3 linked regions of the Diceros bicornis minor genome follow. The protein of the gene in region 2 interacts with the protein of the main gene of each other region in a biochemical or structural test. Links are inferred from orthologs where the notes say so. Each region holds a gene or a part of one and is shown on either strand. Other genes may lie near its edges.

Evidence for each region.
Region 1: the proteins of CD244 (region 2) and INPP5D interact in a biophysical measurement, tested with the Homo sapiens proteins (2 studies listed by IntAct). The link is inferred for Diceros bicornis minor from reciprocal best matches to the Homo sapiens genes CD244 and INPP5D.
Region 3: the proteins of CD244 (region 2) and SH2D1A interact in a biophysical measurement, tested with the Homo sapiens proteins (2 studies listed by IntAct). The link is inferred for Diceros bicornis minor from reciprocal best matches to the Homo sapiens genes CD244 and SH2D1A.

Annotation. Positions count from the first base shown.
Region 1 is NC_080776.1:21,220,524-21,228,256, reverse strand, and holds the start of INPP5D (phosphatidylinositol 3,4,5-trisphosphate 5-phosphatase 1), read right to left. Parts: upstream 3,013-7,733; 5' UTR 2,877-3,012; coding exon 2,743-2,876; intron 1-2,742. UniProt on the Homo sapiens protein: Phosphatidylinositol (PtdIns) phosphatase that specifically hydrolyzes the 5-phosphate of phosphatidylinositol-3,4,5-trisphosphate (PtdIns(3,4,5)P3) to produce PtdIns(3,4)P2, thereby negatively regulating the PI3K (phosphoinositide 3-kinase) pathways.
Region 2 is NC_080743.1:65,400,653-65,408,156, reverse strand, and holds the start of CD244 (natural killer cell receptor 2B4), read left to right. Parts: upstream 1-4,490; 5' UTR 4,491-4,628; coding exon 4,629-4,689; intron 4,690-7,504. UniProt on the Homo sapiens protein: Heterophilic receptor of the signaling lymphocytic activation molecule (SLAM) family; its ligand is CD48.
Region 3 is NC_080781.1:114,107,055-114,114,785, reverse strand, and holds the start of SH2D1A (SH2 domain-containing protein 1A), read right to left. Parts: upstream 3,013-7,731; 5' UTR 2,857-3,012; coding exon 2,720-2,856; intron 1-2,719.

The sequences.
Region 1 (7,733 bases), on a different chromosome or scaffold from region 2:
CTGGGAAGAGGCTCCAGCCCACTGGGGCCCAGGCAGGATGAGGTCTGGGCACCCTGGATTGGGGGGGTCTTTTTCCTTATGGATATTTCTAGAGCAGAAGGGCCAGTCTTTGTGGCTTCCTTCTGCAGTCCTGGCTCACTTTTAAAGCAGGGTCATTAAATGGTCCTGACTCCACAGCTGCACCTCGCAGGGTCCCTGCACTCTCTGCTGACTTCAGAGAGGCAGCAGAGGGGTGAAGCCTGTTGCTTCTGAAACTGAGGGAAGCCCAGTTGTTCTTCACACCATCAGGGCTCCCAGCGCCAGACTGCGGATCAGGACAGTTAAATCTATTTGATTTAAAGGACTGGCTTTTTTTTTTTAAGGAGTATGACTTTCCTGACTTTTTTGGTGTTAAAGGATGCTTTTTTTTTCACGAAATGAGCCATTGGAAGGTGGTAGGTAGTTGTCATTCATTTAGTTAGTTTTTAGTTTTTAAGTCTCCGTAACTGCCAAAATTAAGGATGGTGGCAGATCTCCAGGTTTTTGGAAAGCTTGGTGGTGTGTGGTATCCCACAGCCCACAGTGGCTCCTGCTCCTGCAGGAAAGGTGGCTTCCCCCACAAAGCAGAGGAGAAAGGGGAGACCAGGGTGAGGGTCTGGCCAAGGGAAGGGACTCCCCGGGAGGGCTCCAGGCCCTGGTGTGGGAGCCAAAGAGATCTTGGGGCTGGGAGGCTGAGGAGAAGTCCAGGCCTGGGCTATGAGGATGGTGGACATCTGTGGGTACCATGGGCACTACCCCTAAGGTGCAGACCCCACACATCTGCCGAGGCTCTGAGAGTAACTCAGTGCAGATGAGGGGAGGGGAGGAGGGGTGGAGGAACGAATACTGGAAACCAGGCCTGGATCTCCGTTTGCTACCAGCCAGCAGGGCAGTGTGGACAAAGGCCTCGACCTCTCAGAACTCCATCCGCTCACCTGCAAACTCAGGGGCTGTTGGACCAGAGGTCCCCAGGGCCTCGCCCAGCTCTGCCTCTGGCTTGCTGTGATGCTGCCAGTTTGGAGTCAGAGAGACTCATGTTCCCTGACCGTAACCTGGGCGCAACCACAGCGCCCTGAGCAAACGGCTGCTGTGAAGGTTACATTAGCGAGCCAGAGCCCCGGAAGCTCTTGGCACACAGCAAACACCTAACCAAATTGGCCCTCTGCCAAGTCCCGCCGGGGCAGGAGAGAAATCCACATGGGCCAAGTGGAGTCAGATCTAATTCTCACCACTGTCTCTAAGGCCTCATTGGCAGGTCCCCACAGGGGCAGTGCTGCAGGGAAGTCGGGGCCTTTGTCCCTTCCCCTGAGGGTGAGAGTGGGGGGCGCAGGAAGCGGACCTTGGGAGGTGGGGCCTCTGACGCAGTCAGGGCTCAGGCTGGTCGGTCGGCCAGCTGTGAGCCTGAGCTATTTTCTAAATGCTCCCAGCTGGCCCTTGTAAACACCCTGGCTTCTCCTGCTGTCACCCGGAACCTACACTCACACCCAGCTTGACGGGCGGGAGTGGAGTGGCAGGAGCCTGGTTGTCTGGGTGCCCCCTCTGGGGGCAGCAGGTTGACTGTCATCTCTCACTTAACCTGTCTGAACCTCAGTGTCCTCATCTGCAAAGTGGGGCGATAACAGGACCTGCCCTTCAGGTTGTTGTGAGGATGAAATGGGATAACGCAGGACAAATGCTTAGACTCGATTCTCAAAACAGGTCTGTGTTCAGTGACCCACTTCCCCTCCTGCCTGCTCAGAGGGACATTTCTGCAAGCCCAGGGGCGCTACCTCCGAGGTGCAGGTGGACGCACCCTTCCCCCATTGCGCCCTGGCACTGCCCAAGGCCTGCGCAGGGATGGTTAGACCTCAGGGCTGCAGGGATGATGGCCTCCTTCAGACACGGGTCAAGAAGGGTGTTCTAAAAAGGAATCTTCAGCAGGTGGCTGGTTCCTTGGTTGTTAGGACAACGGGCACATTCAGCAACATGCCAGAGCCAGGGAGCAGGGGGAGTCGATGGGGGCAGAGAGGCCCAAACGGGGCGGGGGGGGAAGGGGAACGCAGCTGAGTGCCAGGGCAGCGAGAGAAGAGGCTCTCACTGTTGGTGATGGTGACTTCCTCTGCTCTCAGGGCCCGAATGCAACTTCTGGGTGAACTGAAAGTCCTCTCTTGAGTGAACACACCCCATATCCGTGGCTCCCCAGACAACAGCTTCCTCTAGGATCCCGAAGCCTGGGCACAAGACGGGTCCCCCTTTGTCACGTCTGCTATTCCATGAGGGTTTCCAAACTGGACATCTTTGACCAACACCTGAGCGGACAAAGCTGCTTTCTAACACACCCACCACCATGGAGCCCTGACCTTCCGCCTGCCTCGGAGAGCCCCGGCCCCCCTCTCCTGGTCCCTGGAACCCGGAGGAAGCCCCTGGCACCATGGCTCAGGGGCAAGAGGAATGTGTGACCAGGCCCCAGGGTGGCTCTGGAGGGCTCCACCGCTGCCATCCCTCAACTTCAAGGCCAGCAGGTCAGCAATGGGCCTCAGCTGGACCCACCAACAACCCCGGGGAGTGTGCGAGCCAGGCCACTCCATCCCATGACATAAAAACAACCCATCCCAGTGCCAGGCGCCTGGCTAAGCCCCCAGCTGGCTTTACACCCCAATAGTCACACCTCCATCATCTCTGTGCCTGGACAGGAGAGGCCAGGAGGCCGGCAGAGGGGCTCGGGGTGAGGAGCACTGTACTTACAGCACGCAGAGCGCGTACGCCCGGGAGATGGACTCGCTGGCGCGCACGAGGAAACTCCCGTCCTTGCCCGTCCTGGAGAGCAGCTCCTCGGCCTTGGAGCGGGTGATGTTGCCATGGTTCCAGCAAGGGACCATGGTGGCCGTGGGCCTCCTCGGGCTGGGCCAGCGGCCACCCCCAGGATCAACGTGCCACCGAGGGCAGCTGAGGCCCCTGCTCTGGGAGCTGGACCTGCTGTCTGTCCCCTGTCGGTTGGCCCGGCTGCTGCCACCAGCTCACTGACCGACTTCCTGTTTCAGGCACTCAGCGAGGGAAAGGAAACGAGCTGCAGAGAACTTCCTCATTGCAGAGCCCAAGCAAGAGAGTCGTCTGGTCCTCCACCTTCCCACCCCGCCCACCCTGGGCCTGCTGCCCCCTCCCTCTCCCCCTCCCGCCCTTTCTCTTTCCTTCAGTGAGTCTCGGTCTGCAGAGGGGCAAACGTCAGCTCGAGTCCTCCTCGGGAACTGTCAGCCCCTGTGGTGACAGGAGGCTCATGGCTGACTTCTGAAGAAGTGTGGCCTAAAAGGCCTGGACGGGCCAAAGCAGCGGCTGTTCCCGGGCCTGTGCCAATGCTCACATGGGAGGGCCCCGCCCTGGAGCGATCCCTCCGCTTTCTGTTCTACCCCAGGGCTTTTCAACTCTCTGCCCCCCTCACCTCCCCAAAACTACCCAAGGAACCGAGGATCCCAGGGCAGAGCTTCTCATCTGGGACAAGGCCTGGCCCCAGGGGCCGAGCCAAATTTAGGGGGAGGGGTACAGTTGAGCCCTCTCCCCATACTGGAGACTCAAGGCCATCCAGACACCACACAGCCCTGGGAGCTGGGCGGAGCTGAGTGACACCACCTGAGGGCTCTGATGGCCCAGGTGACAGCTCTGTGACACCTTTATTCTCGTCCCCCGGGGCTGGTGGGTGAGAAGGAAGCCTGGGTGACCTGTCCTCCATTGCCCCATGCACGCAGGCTGGGTTTTCAGCTCTGGGTCTTTTCAGGACATTTGGGAAACCCACACTTCCCCGCCGGCAGGCTGACCCCCTGGCCAAAGATGACGTTGCTTCCTGTGTCCTACATTTCAACAGAGTTGGGGTGGCCGGTGGGACTGCGTCTCCCCCGAGGCCAGGCGTGGCTACGTTTGCCCATGGCTCAAAGGGGAGCTGCCTCCCGGGGGCCACCACTCAGGACCAGCAGATTCCAAGGGCTCCAAAGTGGATACCCACCCCCTTAGACCCCAGACTGGATGCCCTCTGTCCTTGGGTCAGGCCCACCAGGGTGAAGGGGCAAGTGCTAACCTATTGCACAAGGGGTGGACCCCCAATCCCACATCCAGGCCCCCCCGGATATGACAACAGAACCCCCTCCAGGGGCAAGCCTCCATTCGAACTCGGCTCCCCTGCATTCGAGTTGCAGGAGCCGGTCAGGTTTCATCTCTCTCTGAGCCCCGGTTTCCTCTTCTCTCCCTTGAGGAAAGTAGCCCCTGAAGGCACTCCTGTGTGCTGGAGCCCCCATCAGCCCTGCCTGCAGCAGCACACACAGCGGGTGATTCTGAGCGAACAAAGCGCTCTCATCCCGATGGACTGACCGCATCCTGATTCTGAGGCCCAGAGCAGAGCGGGTTCGCCTTCAGGCCCTCTCTGGGCTCCAGGAGAAGTTCCTTTTGGTAACTCGAGCCCAGAGAACTCCCCCGTCCTCACTCCACCTCCCAAAGCCAGTTCCTCCCCAAGCAGCTCTGAGCTTCCTCTCCCCTGATGACTGTCCCCTCCCCTGACTCCTCCCACTGACCCCAAGGACTAAACTCCCAAACCTGCAGCCAATAGTATCAAGGGCCCTCTGGGCAAGCCTGAGCTAGCCTGGCGACACGGTGGGGATAAGAGCTGGCCTCCACACTCTGGCCTGCCCGAAGCCAGCTTGGCTCTGGGGATGCAGACTCCCCAGCAGCTGCTGTGGTGGCCTCTCGTTCTCTTGCCCCAACCTCAGCCCCACGCCGCCTCCACACTCTCATCATACACTTTGCACCATTCTCCTCGCCTCCCTGCTGATCTCCACCAACTTCCTCATTGCTCTTGGCCTGAAGTCCCCTGGTCACTCTAGAGTCCATCAGGAGGATCCTGGCCCCTCCGTACCTTGACCAGCTCATCCCTAGAGACCCTCCACCGTGTCTGAGATTCTCCCACTTATTTCTATCTTCCCTCACACTCTCCAGCTTCTCACACTCCCTCTCTCACATCTCTTTCCCACTGAGTCCTACATCTCAGCAGAGTCACGGGGGACAGCGGGGCAGTCGGACCCTCCCTGCCATTTGACTCCAGTGTGATTTCCCTTTGACACATACATGACACACACGTTTCCCATCCCATCATCACTTCCTTCCCAACCCAATTGTCTGAGCCATCCGACATGGTCAGCTTCCTTGTCCCCCTGCCCTTCTGCCCCCTACGTTCAGAAAACCCCAACATCTAGATCAGGGCTGCCCTTGTGGTGGGTGGGGCCTGAGTAAATATTTTTGGCAGGGCCCTGTCTATATAAACAATTTAATTAAAACTTGTATTATGAAATTCATGGATCCACGGGAGGTATATTGATCTATCAATGAAGATTTAGAATAACAGATAGAAAGGAGGTAGTTATGTATATGTTCAACGTCCAATCAGTGCCCTTGAAGAGTCTTCATGATGTCCAGGTCCTCTCTTCCTGTTCCGGTCCCATTTATCGTTAAATGACCATTCTTGGCTGGTGTCGTATCTCGTACAGCGAGATGAGGGTGGCCATGCTGCTGTTATTCACGGTGCTGTGGCTCTTCAGAACCTGTTCATTTTGACACGACATAGATCTTTTTCTTGCCTCTGCATTTCCTAATCACATTTTTTATTGCTGGTTATGTCATTACCAGTGATGCTGCTTCAGCCATTGTGCCACCCGTGCACACTGGGCCCCAACCATTCCCTCTGAGATTGTTCCTTTGCTTCATTGATAACCACAAATGCATATCTTACCTAGAGCATGCAAGCAAATGTTAACGATAATTCATTTTCTAGTATGTTAAATCTACTGTTCTGAATTTTATAGCACAAATGTAGAACAATACACCTTCCAACCATCTTCTCTTGAATTTTAGGCCATAATCACCACATTCCTGTGTTGTGATCTCTTTCAATGATGACCGCACCCCTGCCTTCCACACAAGAGAGCAGTTCTATTCTCAAGGAATGTCCACCCTGCACCTGGCATGATTAAGATCAACCTGGAGAACTCAACCTCGGTTGATTGGAAGAGCCCATAGGTGTTGTTGAGCAATGGTCTCGAGATCCACTGGAGGAAATGCTGCCTGACACCTGGATGCGAGCCTCCAGAGGGGATGGAGTGACTGCCCCGGTGCTCTTGGCAGGGATGCAGAAGGTAAAGAACATCTGCCACCATCAATGTTGCCCTCAGTGCTGTTGAATGGAGGCAGCACGGTTGGTGGAGTGCTGTAGGTGAGAGGCAATCTGTGGGCCCTCACATGGTGTGGTCAAAGATTGACCCTGGCCCATGGGCAGCTCAGAGCCAGAGCTCGTCTTGTATCTGACATGAGAATCATCCCAAATCAGGATCTCAGCACCATTCTAGAGGCCCAATATTGTGCCATCACACAAAAGAAGTACCACACTGGTCAGAAGGAGTGACCTGCTCCCCTGAGCTACACCCAGCCATGTGGCTCCAGAAAGATCCCATAGGCTTGAGTCTCAGAGCTCTTTGGACCATGGTCAACTCCACATGTAGGGCAGAAGTTTGGAAAGCAGCCAAAGGGGAAAACTGGGGTCGGGGCTCGTGTGGGCACCCCACCCAACTGCACTGCCAGCCCTGGCCAGTCCCCAACATTGGAGTGGGCTTGGAAAATTTGTAGGGAGTCAGGCAGTGAGCAGCGTCAGGGTGATCTGGCAGGCACTGGGTCATGGACACTTGGCTGCCTCTAGAAGCTCTGGGAAGAACAGACAAAACCTCAGTGTTGAAGAAATGAGCTTACATGGTAGGCACCAAGGGATAGGAGGGATTCTGCTGCTGAAAACTCATGTCAGGTCAGGTCCCAAGAGGCTAGAACTCTTCATTTGAGCCTCAGGACAGCATCAGGGCAGGGTAGGAGAGAGGTACAATGGGGACCACCATTAAGCCACTTGTCCAGGGTCCTTCCCCCTTGGACGGGAAGCAGAGTGGTTTTCAGGGGCTGAGAAGGGGCTGAGCTGGGAGATGGACCATGAAGTCCCAGCTGTAGGGACATGGGGTGGGGGAGGAGGCAGAGATGCAGAGTGACTTCACAAATGACCAGACAATATTTCTAAGTATTATCATCATGCTTCCCTTCCCCTCCCGTGTTCACTGAAGCCCTTCACTGTACCCCAGGGCTCCCCACTGCCTACCAGCTTGGGCAGAGAGACGGATGTGTCCCCCACTGAATCTTATTGACAGGGGAGGATCAAAGTGGTGACACTGAGTCACCAAAAGCAAAGGGAGCTGTGATAGTCAATTTTTGTGTATCAACATGGCTGGGCCACGGAATCCAGATATTTAGTCAAGTATTATTCTAGATGTTTCTGTGAAGATATTTTTAGATGTGGTTAGCATTTGAACCAGTAGACTCTAAGTAAAGCAGATTACCCTCCATGTTGTGGGTGGGCCTCATCCAATCAGTTGAAAACCTTAACAAAAAAAGACTGAGGTTCCCCAAAGAACAGGGAATTCAGTCAGCAGATGGCCTTCAGACTCAAACTGCAGCATCGACTCCTCCCGGGGTCCCCAGCCTGCCAGCCCACCCCGCAGATTTTTGACTTGCCAGCTTCCACAATCACATGAGCCAATTCCTTAAAATAAATCTCTTTCTCTCTCTCTCTCTATATATATAGAGAGAGATGTGTGTGTATATATATACATATATATATATATACACACATCTTATTGGCACTATTTCTCTGCAGAACTCTGACTAAT
Region 2 (7,504 bases):
GAAGATATACAGATGGCCAACAGACATATGAAAAGATGTTCAACATCATTAACTATCAGAGAAATGCAAATCAAAACTACAAAGAGATATCACCTCACGCCTGTCAGAATGGCTATAATTAACAAGACAGGAAACAACATGTGTTGGAGAGGATGTGGAGAGAAGGGAACTCTCATACACTGCTGGTGGGAGTGCAAACTGGTGCAGCCACTATGGAAAACAGTATGGCGAGTCCTCAAAAAATCAAGGATAGAACTACCATATGATCCAGCTATTCCACTCCTGGGTATTTATCCAAAGAACCAAACATCAATGCATAAAGATACATGCACCCCTGTGTTCATTGCAGCATTATTCACAATAGCCAAGACTTGGAAGCAACCTAAGTGCCCATCAAGGGACTAATGGATAAAGAAGATGTGGTATGTATACACAATGCAATACTACTCCGCCGTAAGAAACGATGAAATCCAGCCATTTGTGACAACATGGATGGACACTGAGGGTATTATGCAAAGTGAAATAAGTCAGAGGGACAAGGTCAAATACCGTATGATTTCCCTCATTAAGTAGTAGATAATAACACAATAAACAAACACATAGAGACAGAGATTGGATTGGTGGTTACCAGAGGGGAAGGGGGGAGGGAGGAGGGCGAAAGGGATAATTCGACACATGTGTGCGGTGATTGGTTGTAATTAGTATTTGGGTGGTGAACATGATGTAATCTATGCAGAAATAGAAGTATAATGATGTACACCTGAAATTTATACTATGTTATAAACCAATGTTACTGCAATAAACAAAAAATTTAAAAAAATGTAATTGAATTTTAAAATTAAAAATTATTATTATTATTATTATTTTTGGTGAGGAATATCAGCCCTGAGCTAACATCCATGCAATCCTCCTCTTTTTGCTGTGGAAGACCAGCCCTGAGCTAACATCTATTGCCAATCCTCCTCCTTTTTCTCCCCAAAGCCCCAGTAGATAGTCGTATGTCATAGTTGCACGTCCTCCTAGTTGCTGTGTGTGGGACGCCGCTTCAGCATGGCCAGACAAGCGGTGCGTCGGTGTGCGCCTGGGATCCAAACCTGGGCCGCCAGTAGCGGTGCGTGGGAACTTAACCGCTAAGCCACGGGGCTGGCCCCTATTTTTAAAAAATAAAAATGGATTACTATTTCTAAAAACAGTTGCAGCAATTCACTTGCATAATATATTTGGTTTATAAAGTTTGCTTTCTTAAAACCAGCCCACAAACAGATTAATCATGATGATTGTTCATTGATTGTGTTGGTTAATTTTATGTGTCAACCTGACTGGGCCACAGGGCACCTAGATATTTGGTTAACCATTATTCTGAGTGTTTCTGTGAGAATATTTTTGGATGAGATTAATATTTAAATTGGTAGACTGAGTAAAGCAGATTGTCCTCCCCAATGTGGATGGGTTTTATCCAACCAGTTGAAGGCCTGCATAGAACAGAAAGACTTACCTTCCCTGGAGTCATAGAGAATTCTGCTGCCTGATGGCCTTCAAACTGGGACATTGGCTCTGCAGATTTTGAACTTGCCAGCCTTCATAAATGCATGAGCCAATTCTTTATAATAAACCTCTTTATGTCTATCTCCATCTTCATCTCTCTATCTGCGTTTATATATCTTCTATTGGTTTTGTTTCTCTGGAAAGCCCTGACTAATGGATTGATCTTAAATTACGTAGTTGAACATCTGGAAACTTGAAGAACTGATATTTTAAATCATCACACATGTAATATAGTCATTGTAAAAAGTTCTCAACAGAAGTATATGTGGAATAAAAAGTAAAAGTCACTCTCTCACTCACTCCTCCTCCAAATTCTATTTATTTACCTAAAGGTTACCATCATGAATACATTTTTCCCAGGCATGTGTCTCTGCATTTACAACCATTCAGAGAATATAAATATACACACACTTAGTTCTGTCCACCTGAACAGAACTATATCATGCAGATTGTTTTGTGAATGTCTTAGAGCTCTTTTAATATGAGTATGTATACATTTATCTTACTCTTTTTAAAGGCTTCTTAATACACTGTAGTAAAGAATGAATACACCATATTTTTTAAACTGTTTTCTACTGATTAAAATTTAGATTGTTTCCAATTTTTTACTTAACAATATTGTAAGGAAAACCTTGTTTGTCTTTCGGCATTTGTGCAACTATTTTTGGTGCGTTGGTGAGAGTATTTCTGCTGGATAAATTCAAAGAAGAGGTATTGGTAGGTCAAAGAGCATACAGATTTAACATGTTAATGATTACTGTTAAAATGCCTTCTATGAATTATCAAAGCTAAAGGTGCTCTTGGGAACCCCGAACGTACAGTAAGTCTCAGAAGTGGGTGGTTTGGGGGACTTGTGAACTTTGCAGCTGGGATAACTAGAATGACCTTGGCTCAGTGAAACATAGTGAAAGTACAGTTTGGGAAAAGGAAGGACAAGAGGGTGGGGGTTGATGAATCTTTAATTCCTGGATTGCTACTGATCTTTAAAAGTATCAGACGTACAGAGACCTGGGGAATATGCGTAGGAAATGGAGCTACAGAGTCTCTGAGTTTATGTGGACTTTGCAGGGTCTTGGGTCTTCATGCTAAAGTGGCTGAATTGCACAGAAGGTCTCTTTGCACAAGGATCCTGCAGGGCAAGATATAAACTCTATGAAGGCAGGGACCATGGTGACTTAGCTTAGGAGTTTATCTCAGGGGGAATGGAAATGCTTTTCCTAGGGAATTCATTCCTTCTTTCAGCACTCAACAATCTATAACTAACCATTAAGAACCAGGCAGTGGGCCAGGCTCTGGAAACACTAAGCTAAGGAGAGCACAGATCTCATGTTGAAGAGCTCAGTTGGCAGGGCAGTGTGTAGAACAAGTAGCAGTTATTATGTGGTAGAGTATGTTAAGGACCGTGAGATACGCAAGTGGTATGCCTGCTCCAGTTTAGTTTCTAGGGGTTGGTGGGTCATCCACATGACTGGCGGGGAGAGGATGGAGCTGGTTTTGGGGTCAGGATCAGTGAAGCAGATTCCTAATTCCTGTTGTTCATTAGTTGCTTTGAACAGTTGGACCTTGTCTTCCGTCTTTCACGGGGGTAAGTTTATCCTTCCTTGTTGCATCATGTCTTGAGTATCACTTCTCAAGGTCAAAGGCATGGCCAGATCAACTCTGAGGAAACTCTCCAGGGGTGAGGGCTGCCCCTTGGGAAAAAACAAAGAAGAGAACAGCTGAAACCATTAGACCAGCTGGAAAAAGCTATGTAGGGCTATGTTTAAAAAAACAAAATGAAACTTACCTATGTCCAAGGTTTTTTACATGCATACTCTCAGGCACAGTTTTTAATTTGGTCCTAAAAACTACCTCATGAGGAAGGGGAGTATTGTTGACCCCACAGGCTCAGAAAGCAACTTGGCCAGGATCACACAGGTCGTGAGTTGCTGAACTGGAACTCAAGTCTATGTCTTTGACTCCAAATCCTGTACTCTGTCCGGAACATCACTGCAGCCTTCATGGCAGCCAAGGCTCTCAGTCTGCCTCCCCTCAGCCCAGCTTCAGACAAGGTGATTGGAAATGGATCAAAGGATGGACAAAGAGAAGAAGGGCTGACCTGAAGGGAACTGAAAGCATTTGCTGCTAAGGGGAAAGCAGAAGAAAGAAAAAGGCACGGAACCCTGGGGAAGGCCTGAAAGCAAATGCTTTCTGGAAAAGGTGGGAAGTCACTGCCCCTACCCCTCCAAGGAGGTGTGAGGAGGGTCAAAAGCTGCCTGGCCCTTCTGGAGAGTGGAATTGAAGTGTGGATGGGAGAGGACCACAAAAATGGGTCTCCATTCTGTCTGGATGAAAGAAGGCAAGAGAAGGAAGGCAGAACTACTATAGGAAAGTAGAAAAAGAGGAAGGGAGGGAATTTAGAAGTACAGTTAGGAAACTGGAGCAAAAGCAAATTCTCATGAAACAATTTGAATTTGTATGTGTTTAAACTTTAGTATCGTCTTGCAGAGCATCCCCAGGTCTGTCAGGTTTGTCAGGTGCCCCCAGTTCTCAGGCCTCCTCCTATGTCTCCCAGTTGCTCCTCTCCTTCAACGCTTCTCCCGCTTGTCTAGGGTCCACTTCTCAGCCCACACTCTCCCCACCCCTCTCCCCTCTGCTTCACACTGCCTGTTGGAATGAGACAGTCTAGCATCATGGCTGTTTGGTCCCCAGGTAGGTTTCTACGTATTGCCAGTAGGATGGAGAGAATTGGAAAATTTCTTGGGCATCTGCCCTTTGAATGAAGCAGCCAGGCTGGGGCAGAGCGAGGGCCAAGGTATTGAAGCTCCCTTTGCAAGCCACTGTGAACTCCGAGCACCCGCCCACTTGAGGCACCCTTTGCAAATTCAGTTTGTGGGAACTGTCAGACCAAGTCTAGGGACTGGGGCTTCCTCAGTGGCCTTATTAGTTGTCAGCCGATGAGAACAGCCTCAAGTTGAGGAAATTGTGGCCAGACAGGCAGTTCTGCTCCCCATCGCCCTCCTGCTGACTCGCGGCTGCTGAGCCTGTGCACTGCGGAGTGTCTGGTGGGATAGGAGCCGGCCTGGCCCCTCTGTCCTTTGGGTATGTTGGGGCAAGCTCTTGCTCTCACACTTCTCCTGCTCCTCAAGGGGCATCAAGGCCAAGGTAAGGAGGTCCAGCCTGGGATGGGTGGGAGCTTGTATGTACTGGGGGCAGTGGCCCTCAGGGAGATCAGAGCCTCTGGATTGTACTGCTTACATGGTCGCCTGTGACTCTGAGCAGCTCCTGACAGCTCTGGACAGGTGAAGTCAGACATGTCAGGCTGGCAGTGGGTTGGGAGGTCCTTGAGAAGCGGATTGGGCCATGCCATCACTAATCCAGGCAGCCTTGGGCAAGGAGATTCCTTTCCACTGGCTTCAATGTACCTTTCTGCATAGTGGGGAGAAAGTGTCCTCCCTGCTGGCTATGAGACGGACAAAGGAAATATCCCCTAATTTGGTGCGATTACCAGCAGAGAGGAGAAGTGGCCCCCGGGCTTGGGTTTCACGAGAAAGTTGAGTGGTTCTGCAGCTCAGAGACTGACAGATTGCTCCCTGTCAGGGAGGGAAGCTGAGCACTGAGGAGGGGAGGGCAGGCCAACAACCAGGACAGAGGCTTAATCTGCATGGCCTGGCCCCTCATCTCTCAGCTCTTCCAGCAGCCCAGAGGCCATAGAAGCCTGAGAATTATTAGGACAATGTTGGCTTGGGGCAGACAGCAGGGAAGGGGGATAAGGAGACAATATTAGGAAGCTCCACAGCAAACGGAAAGCTGTCAGCTGGGTGTCAAGCCATCTCATGTTTACTTGGGGGGATCTCAGCTGTGGGCTGCTCCCCTCATTCTCCAGCCCTGGAGTCTAGGGTGCTCTGAGACTTGGAGCCTGGAGTGACTCTTTGAGGGGCAGCGTGGGTGGGGGTGGAATGAGAGGAGGGCACACTTGGGTGCAAAGGGAGGAAACTGAGGCACAGGGTGTGTGTCCAGGGCCTGTTAGAAGCCCGATATGGAATAAACTCCCCTCCCTGGGTACTTAGTTCAATTCTTGAGCCTCCAAGCGCTCTGGTGTCCTTTAGGAAGACACAATCTAGGCTCAGGTGGTCTTGACATTTGTGATGAATACAGGCAGAGGAAGGCAGAGCGTGACTAGGAACTGGGAGCAGAATGAGAGAGGTCTGGAGCCTGGGGCTCATGTGTGTGGGCTGGTGGGACCCAGTGACCCAGGATCCTAGGCAAGAGAGCCAGGTTGGATCCTCGGTCTAAGCAGCCTCGAAAGTGCCCCAGACAGCTGGGGTAGGACTGAGGGGATTTTGTGCCTGGCTTTGGAGATGAGAGTGACAGAATGTTGAGGCTAACTCTGAGATCATGAGCCTGTGTAACACGAGGACGATGCTCCCTCTGTCCCCATGCCCTGGGCTGCAGCACTCTCTTTGGGCATGGCTATGCCAGACCACTGCAGGTGAAGCGGGCGAGTGATTCTTTGGGCATAAGGAGGCATGGACTTTGGTCTTAGGGAACTTCTCTCTCTTCTTGCTATGTCCTGTATCTGTGGGCCTGGCTGGTGTAAGCTGACTGAAACTGCTCTATTCATTTATTTTAATTTTCAAGCTTTCTAGTTTGAAATAATTTTGGAGTTGCAGAGAAGTTGCAAAAATAATACAAAGATTCTTGAATTTCCTTCACCTAGATTCACCAGTTATTAACACCTTATCACATTGGCTTTATTTCTCTTTCTCTCCATATATATGTGTGTGTATATAAATACATAGTAATTATTATTTTTGCTGAACAATTTGAGGTTAAGTTGCAGACATCATGGCCTTTACTCCTAAATATTTTAGCACATATCTTCGAAGAACAAGGACATTCCTATATCATATCATATCATATCATATCAGCACAATTATCAAATTTAGTAAATTTAACATTGATACAATCAAATACACAGCCCATATTCAAATATTACCAATTTTCCCAATAACATGCCTTATGGCATTTTTTTCCTGATCCAGCATCCAATCAGGATCATGCATTACATTCAGTTGCTATGTCTGAGCTTTGCAAAAATCTTCCAGAGGCTTCTCACTTCAAGCGGAGTAAAAGCCATACATTTTACAGCAGCCGGCCTCCCTGGCCATCTCCCCTTCCTCTTGCTCACTGCATTTCAGCCACACTGGCTGCTGGTCCTTGAACACCTCCACTCCAGGGCTTTGCACTCAGTGTTCTCCACCTGGAACGCTGCTCCTACCCCACCCTCACGGCACCACGTGCCACATGGCTTCCTCCCTCAACCTCTCAGGATTCTGCTCCAATACCACCTTCTCAATGATGCCTTCCCCTCTAAAAATGTCAACCCTGCCATCCTGCAACTCCTTATCTCCCTCTCCACTTATTTTTCTTTGTAGTACTCGTCTCCCTTTTAAATACTACACCGTTTCCTTATTTGTTTTATTTTCTGTCTCCCAGGCTCTTCTTTCCCTCGCTAGAAGGTAAGCTCCTTGAGGCAAGGGCTTTTCTCTGTTTTGTTCGTGATGTATCTTCAGCATCTAGAACAATATCTGGCACAAGTAGACACTCAATAAATATTTATTGAATGAATGAATACTTTTAATAATCCTGGAATAGAGTGAGAGTTTATCTGTCTACTAGAGAGTTTCACTGGGAACAGTTGTTCTAAATTTTAAACCAGAAACTATCTCTGTGGCCTTGAGGAAGTTAACCTCTTGTTTCTCAGTTTTTCACCCATAACTTGAAGTCAGCAGTGGTGCTTGCTTCATAGGGGTGTGTGAGGATTAGACAAGACAGAGTATATAAAGTGCTTAGAAAAACATTGAGTTATAACAAATACCCCAAAATGAACACTCATGTTATTCAGCTCTTTGGAGGCTGGGCATATATTTCACTTAGTTTTGTAATCAGAGTCAAGAAGAGACTATTCAGTAATACT
Region 3 (7,731 bases), on a different chromosome or scaffold from region 2:
TTATATTGTTATTTCTACTGCATATCATAAGCATATACATTTTTGTTTAAAATGAGTACGTGGTTTATTTCAAAATAAAATTTAATTTTGTTACTACAGTGTAGTACTAAAAAGGGGGAATAAAATGTTTACGTTTATCAAAAGGGACTCTTGGCTCAAAAAGGTTGAGCAACTGTCATAAAAGGCAATGTATCCTTGTGTCTTCCCTCAGCAGCACAGTGTGGCAATCACCCTCTAAGACGTGGTGGCTCCAGTGCGCCCATCAAAAGACATGCTAGACGGACTCCCAATTTGCCTATTATTTTTTTGCTACTTCATAAAGAGGTTTGCATGGAGAACTAAGAGTCATCAAAACTGCATTTATGTAAGATTCACTTTGGGTGAAAACTTAAATGTTTGAGAATTTCCCACCAGCCTAAATTAATTCCATATGTGGTCCTGGCCTACATGGGCAAAGGCCTAGAGTTGTCCACCTCTCTTGAATATTTTACCAACAGTAATCTTATGCAGAAGGTGGGGCACACATCCCTATTCCTGTTTTACAAATATGGAAACCAAGACCCAGAAAAGTTGAGTGACTTCTCGAGACTACACCCTGGCCTCCTGATATCAGCCCAAAGCTCTTTGCAGTAAAGAACAGTATTTGCCTTGACAATTCATTCATTAATTCAAAAATATTTATTGAGTGCCCATTACATACCTCCTAATGTGCATCATAATGCCTATTATGTGCCAGGCTGTGTTCCTGGTGCATGAGAAAATGTCCCTGCCCTCGTGGAGATTACTTTTTAACAGGAGAGCCTAGCAATAAATAAATAAACAAGGAAATGTCAGATAGTTTAAAGCTCCTTGAAGAAAAATAAAATAAAGTGATAGAGTGTAACAGAGACGGAGAGAGGGCACTTATTTTAGATAGGGTGGTCAAGGAAGTCCTCTCTGAGGGACGAGGCGGAAGGAACAGTAAGTGCAAAGATCCTAAGAGGGGAGCATGCCTGGCAAGCTTAAAGAACAACAAAAAGGCCAGTGTGGCTGAAGCCTTAGGCGCATCTTGCCACACACTGTCCCCTGCTCTCCCTCCCCTGCCCAGGCTTCTGTACCTTACTTTTGACCTCTAGGTTAAGGGGCCCATTACCTCCTACGTCAGCTTCCCTAAAGAAGCCCCTTTTGCTGGCCTACTCACTCCTCCACCTTCTTTTGATAAGAAAAGGGCCTAAGAATACTAGTTGGTTTTCATTGACCTTGCCCAGTTTCCACCTGGGAAAAACAATAATATAAGCAAAACATAAAGATCTGAGCCCAAGAGATTCAACGGCTTCCACGTACTTCCCTTGAAGCCTTTATAATAAATGTATTTAGCATGGCCTGAGAGTTGCCCCACACATGGCTTGACCATTTAAAAAAATAAAGAAAATCCTCTAACACCTCAGCATAATCTTTCTTCACTGACCCAGAGGGTACTTCAAAAGCTCACAGTGTATCATTAGGTACCAAAATTACTACCAAGAATTTTCCCTCATTTTGTTTCTGTCTAGAACCTATTGTGCAGAGCCAGTCTTTTCATGGCTATTTTTATCCTGCTGACAAAAAGTGATTGAGCTAGGTACTTCCTTAGAAATGCCCCATGAGTACTGAAAGAAATCGACTGAAGAAAAGCATATATTAATAACTACAGCTTACATTTACTATGTATCAGGTCCAGTGCTAAATTTTTTACTTGCATTATGGCATTTAATCCTCACAATCCTATGAAGTAGGTAGTCATATTATACCCATTTTATGGACCAGAAAACTGAGAGACTGAGAAGTTAACTTGCCAAGGTCACAAGCCTAGCATTGGACAAGCACAGGATTAAGTCTCAGTTCTGCCTGACTCTGGAGCCCTGGAGCAAAGATGAAGGTGCATCTGCTTCAAAATGAGGTGTCAGACTAAGACATGCCTAGGTAAACGGCAAAGTTGAATCACAACAAGGGTGTTTTCCCTCCATGCCCTTTACGACTGTTGTCAGTCCTAGTTTATATCAAGAAAGGGTCTTATTTCTGAAACCCCCTGCCCCCACACAACTCCTCTAAAGGAAGCTAAATAAGCAGATCCAGAGAGTCAGTTTCACTCACAAACATCTCCGTCTCGGCGTCCTGACCTAACTGGCATTGCATTCTTAGTAGTGGATTCAGTTTCTTAGTCTTCTTCCTCTCCCTGAATGTGATGGTCTTCTTTTCACATGACACCTCCGAATCCATTTAAAGAGATCTAGGGAGAGGCCCTTCATTCTCTCAGGAGCTGGTGGCCCCAAATCTGGCCTGTCCACCCTCCTAGGGTTCCAGCTTGCTGGCCTCTAATGGAGGTCAAAACGGAATTCGGGAGTCTGGGTCTTTCTCGGAGCAAAGGTAAATTCTAGGCTGCGTTTCCCTACCCCAAAGGGCATTCTCTGCAGCTGCCCTAAACGGCCCGGGCGAGGCCCTTCTGGAGAGCGGGAGGGCCCAGGGAGTGAAATCTCCACTGGGGGCCTAGGCCAAAGCATGGTCCACCACAGCCCTGGGCTGGCTCTGAGAAAGCCCTTAGGGCTCTCTGGTGGGCAGTGGAGGAGGCCTCGACGAGCTCCTGCTGCCCACCCGTTGCCTACTGAGGCCTCTGGCCCCCCGCCGCCCGTGCCCACTGCCCGTGCCCGCTGCCCGTGCCCTCTGCAGGCCCCAGCCCCAGCCGCGGCCGCGACGTACTCACAGCACACACAGGCAGTACACGCCCGGGACACTCTCGCTGTCCCTCAGCAAATAACTGCCGTCCAGACCCGTGGCGAGCAGGAGCTTCTCCCCGGTCTCCCGGCTGATTTTGCCATGATACACAGTCACCGCATCCATGGCTTGGTGGACTCTTGGGCGGGCCGAGGCGTGGGACGGTTGAAGGGATGGCAACCAGGCACGAGTCAGCCACCTGACTCCCAGTTCAGCCAGATGTGCAAAAAAGAGAGGGGAGCGCCCTAACAACAGGATGTTGTCTACCTGCCTTAAAACCTCCTTCTCACACTTCAATTAAAACCTGCTCAGCGATTCAGCAGCTTGGTTATCGCCACAGGGTTTGATCCCCTCCCCACTCGCCCCTCCTAACCCGCCCCCCCCAAAAAAAAACAGGGTTCATACGGAGAGGGGAGGACAATTGGAAGAAGGTCCTTGCAAGATGTGGGCGGCACTGCCAATGCAGACCCTTGCACGCAGGAATGCTTGATAATGCTTCTGTTCTTGCATTTTCCCAGGGACCGAACACCAGGGGTGACTTAGCTTAACTATTCCCAAAAGGGAGTGATGATAGAGGCAAGTTGTACATGGCCTTCATGCGGGCAGAAAAATACTGACAGAGAATGAAAGGGCCAAAAGCTCTGAGACCAAAACTGAGCATAGCCAGGAGGCTCCTACAGAATCAGAAGTAGTAGGTGAACAAGGGACTTGGGGCAAGTATCTTCTCTCCCTCCCTAGGCCCCCTCCTCTTCTGCTCCTCCTAGTCTTCTTGAGCAATCTTGATCTTGAACAAATACAGATTTTTCCTACCTTCTTGTCCAAGATCCCAAAGTGCTGCTTGAGGTACAAAAATTACTCTATGTCCAGACATGTTCCAGATTTAGCTATTTGATGGGCCTTGAATGAGAGAATGTATCATTTAGTGGTGTTTTGTCTTTATGTGGACTTGTATATGCCCTCTGATGTCATAGGGCCCACCTTTCAGAATTTGGGGCATAAAACTTGTTTTAAATCATATTGCAAGTGTTGATAATTGTGTTGTAACTTTTATCCTCTGTTGTTAATAGAGAATATGTTTTTTCTCCAGTTGATGCTAAATTATCATTAATTTTTTAAAACCTTTCAACCTTCATTTCCTTCTCTGAAATAAAGCCATGCTTTTATTTCAAAATGTGCTGTTAAGTAATATTTCCCGTAAACTTCCTCCTTTTTCGCTAGAATAAGACTTTGTTTAATGCTTGAAGCTGAACGGTCTTATACATTTTTCCTTTTGATTATGTAAAATACTTTTAAAATTGGAATTTAAATAGCTGAAGTTACGTTGTCTGTTGTATATCTTCCACAACTTCAGCGCCTAGTTCCTTGAGAACACGGCAAGGCTGGGAGTTCGAAAGGGAGAACAATTTTTAAGTCCTCACATGTCCTACCAATGGATCGGATGCACAGAGCTGCCTTTGCACCAAAGCTAGATATTTGCTATCCTCCCGCTAGGGTTGAGAATAATCCTCTAAGATTTCATTGGCAGCTCTCCTTCTTGATTGAAGTATGCCCAGCCTTAGAATCTATCAATCTTAGTAGATAAAACATGAACATAAGCCTCCTACAGTCATTTGCAATACCAAAATTAAAAAATAAATAAATAAAATAGCATTCAAGATGATATTTGGGGATGGCTCTGGGGAATTGAATCAAGATTGTCTTATCATCTTCCTACCTCATTCATTTATGGCCAACTCCACCTCTCATCCTTTTTCACGCTTTGGGTTAAGGAAGAAATTGACCTGATAATACACCAATGTTAAGGATGTGAGAGGTTAGTCCACCCTGAAATCTTTATATTTTGAGCAGGCAAATGCTTAGCCCAGAGAAATTAATCACAATGGTGGAATTTCAAACACGAAAGGAAAAGGTAGGGAAGGGGATCCCCTCATCCAATCCATATGGACAACAGCCCGCCTGTGAGGTAAACTGTGAGAACATTCAGTGTCACATAGGTAAAAAGAAAACTCCAGCCTTTTTGTCTCTGAACAACCCTGAACAAATCATCCGCAAACTTAAGAACAGAGCAACCTGGATCTGACAGCAAAAGCGTACCATGCATTCTTCTTTTCGTTCTCTGTTTTGTTCCGTATTGCTAAAATAGCACAGCTGTCAAAGCACCCAGGTACGGTGGGGTTCAGCACAACTAAAATCGTATAATAAAAGAACAGACAAATTATAAGGTAATAGTACAACTCTCACATCCAGTCCCTCATTGTCATCTCACAAGCAAGCTGACAGCTGAGCCAGCCCACTACTGCAGTGTTGATGAAAAACACTGACATCTTCACTCTAGTGCTACACCGTTACTAAACCTGACTTGAGCAAATTCAAAACTTCACGCTGAGCTTGAAGTGTGGAGAAAGAGAGATTGAAATGGCTCTCTTCCTTCTCTCTCACCATACCTACAAGAGAGGAAAGGGGAAAAGCTGAAAGAGGGGAGCAGTAGAGATAGTGGAGGCACCAATAGAGAAAGAGTTAGGAAGAATGGGCCCCAAATACAAGTATAATCCACTTAGAAGCGGACTTATCTGATTGTTTATTGTCTGTCTTCCCCACTAGAACATAGGGTCCATGACATCAGGATTTTGTGTACCTTGTTCACCACTGTGTAGCCGGCATCTGGCACATATTAGATGCTAAATGTATTTATGAGTGAACAAATGAATGAACTTAGTGCTCTCAAGAAAATAAGAGAAAAAAATACACACACACACACACACACAAATTTGATTCTCCATGCCTCTGGCCCACCTTTGAAATGGCAAGATGAATTGGAAGGAGGACTAGTCCAGCAATTATGAGAGTCAAATTATATTCCATATTTCGCCACTAAATCACTTCCTCTCTCTGAGTCTCATTTTCTCCATCTGTCAAACGGAGTTGAACCAGATGACCCCTAAGGCCACTTCCAGCTTTAACATTCTGTGCTTTAAACAAAAGCCGAACGTACTTTAGAGAGAAACAGAGGGGAAAAGGACTGAGCTCATTTGTGTGCAAGAAGCAAGAGCTGTTTCCTCAGGTCTCACCCAATAGAGGAAAGATCTTTATTCTTGTTGTTTTTAAATGATGCAAGAAATAAAAATCATGAGATGGAGGAAGAGGGCTTCACAGTTTAAAGCAAAGTACAACCTTTTAGAATACAGATGCCATTTAAATCAAATATAAAAGCACTGACAAACTGTCAGCCAAGGTTGAAAGTGTCTTCTTATCTAAACTTGACACCTCCTGAGGTCTCCGAGAGGTGACAGAATTTTACATGTGGATGCCCTGTCTGAGGTGCTAATTGTCTTCATTTCAAATGCTCTAGGCTATTCTCAAACCCAGGTAGATTAAAGGGATGATGCCAAGGGTGGTCAATTTTATAGAGTGGATCTGACATTTCAAAATCCTTTTCTCTAACCTTTCAAAACTAACTTTGTTCTTCAACTAGCTCATCTATAGGTGTGAATTCTCCTGTGACAGTGTTATGATATTGTCACCAGTGGTGAGTTTACACCTTCTCTCGGCACTTACTAAAATTCACTTCCTTTACAAAAATGAGAAAAGAAAAAAAAATGTCTTAAAAAAAGAGCACCTCCTTTTGATAAGATCTGGGTTTTACCTATGAGGCTAATTTTTCGAATGCCCTTTTGTAAGTGAGAAGCCAGAGTCAGGGTTGTTGTGTGTGTTTATTTAAGCCTATTTTAAATATGCTTATTCTTTCAACCAACATTTAGGAGTATCTACTGTAGGACAGACACTGTAGTAGGTACTTAGGTTAGAGAAAAAAAAAGCACATACCTGCCTTCAAGTAGCTCATAGTCTAGTGAAGAAGATAGACAAGCAAACAATTACAATTCACTTAATAAGAGCTGTGATAGAGGAAAGGATGGGGTTCTAGGGACACAGTAGTGGGACATCTAACTCAACTTATATTCTTTTTTTTTTTTTTGTGAGGAAGATCTGAGCTAACATCCATGCTAATCCTCCTCTTTTTTTGCTGAGGAAGACCGGCTCTGAGCTAACATCTATTGCCAATCCTCCTCCTTTTTTTTTTCCCCCCCAAAGCCCCAGTAGATAGTTGTATGTCATAGTTGCACACCCTTCTAGTTGCTGTATGTGGGACGCGGTCTCAGCATAGCCGGAGAAGAGGTGCGTCGGTGAGCGCCCGGGATCCGAACCCGGGCCACCAGTAGCAGAGCGTGCGCGCTTAACTGCTAAGCCACGGGGCCAGCCCCCAACTTATATTCTAAATCTGCACGATCTACTGAAGACAGCAAGTTCTTTATCTTTCCGTCTGCTATGTACAGTTCCTTTTACTTCTCCTAATTTTACCTCCTTCATGACTCAGAGGATGCTCCCTAATTCTAGCTGAAGCTCTGCCTGCTTCTAAGGTTTTATTCTTGGAATAATAGCTAATATTTGTTAGTCACATACTACATTCCAGCCATTCCTGCTAAGCACTTTGCGTGTATTGTCTCATTTATTTATATCAACAGCCCTATAAAGCAAATACTATTATTATCCCCATTTTACCAATGGGAAAGCCAAAACTCAAAGAGGCTGGGTAGCTTGCTCAAGGTGGCACAACTGGTCAGTGTCAGGCCCAGGATTTGAACACAAGCCACTGACTTCAGAGCCTGTGCATTTCACCACTCTTCTCTTCTGCCTCCCAATGTTAATTCTGAGGTCACTGCACTGAATTGGTCGGGCTTCAGTCTCCCAGCTAGCAACTGTAATTTTGACTTCTAGAATATTCTTCTTACACTTTTCAAGTGTCAAATGTTCCCATGTCCTGACTTGTAGCATGTCTATGTCTATCTATATGCCTTATGAGATCAGATACACTGTTTTAGCCTGGGCCTCTTTGGTTAGTATATCTTGGAAGGCTCTTACAGAGTCAAGATCTATTTCCCCAGGCTTAAATGTCTGTAATCTAGATCATCAGCTTATCCATCCAAAGTAATAGAACACTGAGTG